2 linked regions of the Kluyveromyces lactis genome follow. The main gene of each other region encodes a partner of the protein of the gene in region 2 in a complex. Links are inferred from orthologs where the notes say so. Each region holds a gene or a part of one and is shown on either strand. Other genes may lie near its edges.

Region 1 (2,502 bases), on a different chromosome or scaffold from region 2:
AGTTTAGTCACGATGTTGGGACCTGGAAATTTCACCAGTCTCTATCTTAACAGTGCTATTGCTGGTTCCCTTTTCTCTCTATGGTACCCCAGGTTTGCTAAAATTGCTATGATGGGTCCTAGTTTGGGAGCATCCGGAGCTCTTTTCGGATTATTCGGTTGTTTCTCGTACTTGATTCCAAACGCTAAGATGATGTTCTTCATCTTTCCGGTGCCATTCGGTGCATGGTTCACATTCCTTGGATTAGTGACATGGAACGTCGTAGGATGCGCATTGAGATGGGGGTCATTCGATTATGCAGCACATTTAGGTGGTTCTGCGATGGGTGTATTGTACGGATGGCTAGTTGCGAAGTCTATCCAGAAACAAAGAGAGAAAAGGTTATCCCTTGGAGTATTCCCAAGATTCTGAGTTATACTTACCATCTTTTTACTTCTTCTACCTCTGTAAATAGTACATATGAGTTAAAATAAAGGGCTATTTCGTCCCAACCCTGAATATTCAATCTCTTCCCTTAAGTAGGCCTTCCCTTAAGATGAAAAACCCATCTCTTTTCACTGCAGCGGTTTTGGTAGGATCCCATGATCCGCTTATTTCGCCCAATGAGTCCGATTTCTGCTGGCTTGCAATCCCTTTGATTAATCCCTCGTAATCCAACGGAGTTGGATTCCTTTCTATAATTCTTGCATGGTTTGGATTTATATTTTCGTCAACAGGAAGATTATGCAAACGGTTGATGAACGAAAGTTGGTTCGCAAGCCTGATTTGAATCTGGTCTATATTCTTTATTGGAAGTCCGGAAATCTTTAACAATCTCACCACAGTTTCTTCTGATGGAATCAATTTCTCATCTACCGATGAGGGAACATATTCTCGTACATCCCATGTACTCTTACTCAAAAATTCTTCAACCTCTTTATCGCTGGTAAATTTCGGTCCTATCGTGGAGCCACTCAAATTCTGACCACATTTACCACTGGAGAAACGAATGCCGTGGATTGCTTTTCTTCTTAAAGCAAGAAGCATTGTTATTGGTATGAGATGTTTGAGATATACAGGTGAGAGCCCGGGAATATACCAGTCACAACGTTTTTATCCTCTTCAAATTTAAAAGTCAGAATAAGGAACCTTTCTTTACATTTCCGACGTGCAAGCTGTAATTAAACATTTTAATGATCACGTGAATAAATTCAGAAACTCATCTTGTACGGTTTTGATATTGTGCCCCAAATATTCCCCTTTTGGGATGTAGTCAACTTAAGTCTGAATATTTGTATCACGTGATTGATAATTTCTTTTTCAATTTCTGAAAATTTTCGTTTTCGAGATGCGATGAGATGCGATGAGCTTCAAATACAAATTGCACATACATCACTTATTATACGTACAATGAATGATTGAATAGACAATTGCTATCTCGATAGCTTGTCTTTGGTGGTTCTAGTTAAGTTATAAAGTGATTCAATTTGATAAGCTAGAGTAATCTTCCAGGTTCAGGTTTAAAAGATAGCTAACTAACTAGACAAGGAGAGATACTTTTTTTTGTTCAAGATGAGAATTAAGAAGAGAAATACCAGAGGTAATGCTAGAAACTTCATTACCAGGTCTCAGGCCGTTCGTAAACTACAGATCTCTTTAGCTGATTTTAGAAGATTGTGTATCTTCAAGGGTATTTACCCCAGAGAACCTAGGAATAAGAAGAAGGCTAATAAAGGATCTACGGCTCCTACCACTTTCTATTATTATAAGGATATTCAGTATTTGATGCATGAGCCTGTATTGGCCAAGTTCAGAGAACATAAGACTTTTGCTAAAAAGTTGACTAAGGCTCTAGGGAGAGGAGAAGTGTCAGCAGCTAAGAGATTGGAAGAGAACAGACCTAACTATCAATTAGATAATATCATCAAGGAACGTTATCCATCTTTTGCTGATGCCTTGAGAGATGTGGACGATGCCTTGAACATGTTGTTCTTGTTCGCCAACTTGCCAGCTACCGATCAAGTGTCTTCTAGAATCACACAAAGTGCACAGCAAATGTGTGATCAATGGTCTGCATACATTGCCAAGGAAAGATGCGTACGTAAGGTATTTGTTTCCATCAAGGGTGTTTATTACCAAGCCAGTGTAAAAGGTGAAGATGTCAGATGGTTGGTACCATACAAGTTCCCTGAAAATATTCCAAGCGATGTCGATTTCAGGATCATGTTAACTTTCTTGGAGTTTTACTCTACTTTGTTGCATTTCGTTTTGTTCAAGTTGTACACAGATGCCGGTTTGGTATATCCTCCGAAGTTGGATATTAAGAAGAACAAGCTGATCGGGGGATTAAGTGCATACATCTTGGAATCTAATGATGAGAAGAGTTCGTTGGCTGTGAAACCAAAGGAGCTATCGGAAAACGTTGAAGTTCAGGAATTGGGAGCTAATACCTTAAAGACCGCTTTGAAGGCAGACTCTAATGAACATGACGAAGAGGAACAAGACCAAGACCAAGAACAAAAT
Region 2 (3,585 bases):
CTGTTTCCATCTGGAATTCTGACATGAGCGTTTGGAGTTAAAGAATTTCAACGTTTCGAAATTTATGCGATATTCCACTAATGCAACTACACAACCCATGAGTAGTTTCATCTTTCCGAAAAACTGTACATTGTAAGTTCGGTTCCCCTCTAATTATAGCCTGAAGTTTCTATTTCTTCATTTCTTCCAAACCTGGATTTTGTTTATTGTTGCAATTACCTTAAGAAGGTGACTGCCTAATTTTTCTTTTCAATGGTATGGGTACCCTAATATTTTTATTCAGTATTTGTAGAATGGTTCTACACACTTGGTATACAAGGTTTATAGTAAGGAAATTTTATAAATGGTATATACTTTCATATTAGTCAGGTAGTTAAAAGGTATTTCGGTGAATTATCCTTTGAATAATCTTAAAATAGTTTTGGATCGTAGTATGTTCATTATGAACTTATCTATTCTGTATTTACATGGATGATAGTGTGGACATGTTAGCGAAGGAATGTAATCACGGTTCAACACCAAGAAGTCTTTTGAAAGTAATTTCGAATTCTTGAGCTTGTATTCTACCTTGAGATATCCTCATGGCCTGACCGACAAGGAACTTAATAGAATTTTTCTTCTTACCAGATTTAATATCTTCAATCATTTTGTTATTGTTGAGTTCGGTAATTATACTTTCACAAATTAATTCGAGCTCTTCCGAACCAACATCTGAGACTGCATGTAGCTCAAATTCCTCAATTAGAGCATTGAAATTTATTGGCTCAGAAGCCACAAAAGAGTTCTCCTTAAAGGAATTCAAAATATGCGATAATAAAAGCTTACCACTGGCGTTGCTGATGGTTTTCTTAGAGATTAGCAAGAGTAATTCAGCAAATTTCTCCGGAGGTAGAATATGGGAAACTTTGATGAGAGGAATTTCCATCTTGTTTAGGTTTCCCAAAAGTTCATGAATTATCCAATTTGCAGGTAGTTTTCTCACGAACTCTTCGTTTTGTTTCTTGCATAATGAGTGATATGCATCAAATGTACTAAAATAGCATGCTCTTAATTCATCATGGGAATACAAATCATCATGGCCATTACTATTGATTGTGAGAATTTTTGCATCTTTTAAAGTTAGACCGTAGGGCTCTTGCATTAACATCATACAGGTATCGTCTGGTAACGTTGGAATTGTCTTTTCTACTCCTTCAACTATTTCATTGGTTAAAAGAATATTTGGTAGTTCTGGATCCGGCATATACCTGTAGTCTATGATACTTTCCTTAGTTCTGAGTTTAACAGTTTCCGAACCTGTCCATCCCCTAGTTTCTGTGTGTTTGAGTTGGTCACCTTCGCCTTTTTCTATCATGTTAACTTGTCTATTGTATTCGTATTTGATAGCATTAGTGATTGAGCTAGTATTTGGTAAATTCTTCAACTCTACTCTGGCGTAATCATTAATAGAAAGATTTACATCAACCCTCATCGCGCCCGTTTCAAGGTCACCTGTAGATATCTTCAAATGTCTGACAAGGTTTTGATATTTCTTGATGAAAGCTCTTATCTGTTTTAGGTCTGTAAAATCGGGTTCAGTCACCATTTCGATCAATGGCACATTCGAACGATTTAAGTCGATTTTTGTATTGGAGTCAGTAGAGTTATATACAGATTTACCTGTATCCTGTTCTATCTGTAACTGAATGACAGATATGTCTTTGAAAGCCTCTTCAATAGAGTCTAAATCTTTGTACAATCGTAGTTTACCTTTACTTGAGAAAGGATTGTAATGTTGTGTGATTTGATAGCCCAATGGTTGATCACCATAGAAGTAATGTTTTCTGTCAAAATGTGAGTTTAGACTGACCTTGCATCGTAATGCTAGCGATAACTTCAATGCAAATAGAACTGCCTGCAAGTTGAGTATTGGTTGTGTTCCGGGTATCGAAACATCGAAATACGATGTATGATAGTTTGGCTTATCCACATCTGCAAACGGGCTGTTAGTTGACATTGAAAAAAGCTTATTGTCTGTATTCAGTTGAGTATGGATTTCAAGTCCGCATTTTAACTTATACTCAGGAAGAATTTTGAATTTGGAACCAGTATTCCTCTTAGCATAGTTCCTTCTAAACACCAACATTTCTGGTTATTTATAGCTTATCACTCAGTAGTATAACACCCACTAGAAATTCAAAAACAGCTAATAAGCAGTTGGTAAAATCACTAACACACAGCGCCTAAAAGCCGTTCTTTTGTCAAGTATGTTTGTCTTTATATTCATGTTCATTGCTTCTGTTAATTCAAATTTCATGTTTTTTACCCGAACCTTAGAAAATGTGCCATAAGCACGATGACAGATTTATTTAACTGACGATTGAAAGTGACATAACTTGTGCACACAGTGTATTTGGATAGTTTGAGCTTTGTTTGCCTTATTCTGTTTTATACATTTTTCATAAATATTATACACCGTTTCAGAATTATCTTGGTTTTCGAACAGCCATAATTATTGTTTCTAACTAGTTCCTTTTATCGGTGTGGAATAGAATAGAGTTTCTGTTCAAAGATTTCTTTCCGTCCGTAACCTTTTTCTTAACAGATCTACAGTGATCCAAACTATCTGGTAGTGATATTTGATCAACTTCGTCTTCGTAATAGTTACAATCTGAAATTTTCTGCTTAAACAACAGTTGGCAATCAATATCTTCATCAAAAGCACACGACTTAGCACGGAATTTTAATTTGGAGCTGGGTATCATTTTAGAAAGAGGTTCGATGTTTTCAATATGCACAGTTGCCTTTTCCGGTCCAACTGGTTCAATTTGTTGGTTATTGCACTCTGGTACTTCATTCATTGGGTTTAATATATAGAATGGCTTAACTGATTCAGGCAAGTTGGTAAAATCATCAATTGAAAACGCCTGTGAAAAATACCAATTTGGGTCCAACTTTTGGTACACTGACGGAATATAGCTAGCAGTTCGAAGGTTACCTTTTTGAGACCAGCTCAAGTTTGGTAAGCATTCCAATTCAAACAAAAAATTAGTTCTACACTTCGTCAAATCTTCATCTGAATAGTGAGCGTCTTTGATGAAATAATCACGATTTTGAATGCTTAATCTTCTTTCAAGGTCCTTAAAATTATCTTGTAATTCTTCTAACTTTAAAGAAGTCAAAACTTCTTGCTTTTTCGTATCTAACACAGTGTCCGTCTCTATATTGGTGGACAGCCTTTTGCGTTGTGGAGATTGTTTTTCGAGATGTAAGTTCAAAACCCCTGTAAGGCTGCTGCTAGCTGATTGAGGGCTTTCGTTTAAGTAAGGTATTTCAATCGGAATATTCTCCTTATTCAAATCTTCCAATAGGATATTTTTTTTTAAGCACATCCTTTTCGCCGGCTGGGTATTAACATCTTGGTTATCCAATGGGATCTTTCTTCTAAGCTTTCCGACCATTTTTGCCTTCTGTTTGAGCGAACGCTTTTCTATAGGAAAATTGCCGGGTAGTACTTTTCAAAGCAGGAGATTTAATTGATAATTTACTTAATTTTGAACTTATAATCAGGACCCAAGGTTTCTGGTATCATCTTTTATATTCCAT

What was found. Proteins that work in one complex are often made in the same cells at the same time.
Region 1: the proteins of PET112 (region 2) and GTF1 are in contact, whole or in part, in a crystal structure (PDB 4N0I), measured with the Saccharomyces cerevisiae proteins. The link is inferred for Kluyveromyces lactis from reciprocal best matches to the Saccharomyces cerevisiae genes PET112 and GTF1. Residues at the interface, in NP_009473.2 of Saccharomyces cerevisiae: Asn43, Ser47, Gln48, Ser49, Thr50, Pro60, Asn61, His62, His63, Thr64, Ser65, Tyr66, Ile69, Leu71, Leu78, Asn79, Leu80, Glu81, Ile83, Leu84, Phe109, Gly111, His163, Val171, Ile172, Thr173, Leu174, Val175, Asp176, Leu177; in NP_011616.3 of Saccharomyces cerevisiae: Arg79, Leu80, Ser81, Gly82, Thr130, Lys131, Gln132, Leu133, Asn134, Tyr135, Leu138, Gly141, Ile142, Gln145, Lys146, Gln147, Ala149, Glu150, Leu151, Gly152, Glu153, Ser155, Gly156, Trp158, Ala160, Thr161, Leu163, Lys168, Ala170, Tyr171.

Annotation. Positions count from the first base shown.
Region 1 is NC_006040.1:1,295,604-1,298,105, forward strand, and holds GTF1 (glutamyl-tRNA(Gln) amidotransferase subunit F), read right to left. Parts: upstream 1,027-2,502; coding exon 502-1,026; downstream 1-501. Other genes in the region: rhomboid protease PCP1, read left to right, coding at 1-411; mRNA-binding ribosome synthesis protein NOP7, read left to right, coding at 1,552-2,502. UniProt on the Saccharomyces cerevisiae protein: Allows the formation of correctly charged Gln-tRNA(Gln) through the transamidation of misacylated Glu-tRNA(Gln) in the mitochondria. The reaction takes place in the presence of glutamine and ATP through an activated gamma-phospho-Glu-tRNA(Gln).
Region 2 is NC_006041.1:1,835,598-1,839,182, reverse strand, and holds PET112 (glutamyl-tRNA(Gln) amidotransferase subunit PET112), read right to left. Parts: upstream 2,126-3,585; coding exon 506-2,125; downstream 1-505. Other genes in the region: KLLA0_E20681g (uncharacterized protein), read left to right, coding at 1-41; KLLA0_E20637g (uncharacterized protein), read right to left, coding at 2,505-3,440. UniProt on the Saccharomyces cerevisiae protein: Allows the formation of correctly charged Gln-tRNA(Gln) through the transamidation of misacylated Glu-tRNA(Gln) in the mitochondria. The reaction takes place in the presence of glutamine and ATP through an activated gamma-phospho-Glu-tRNA(Gln).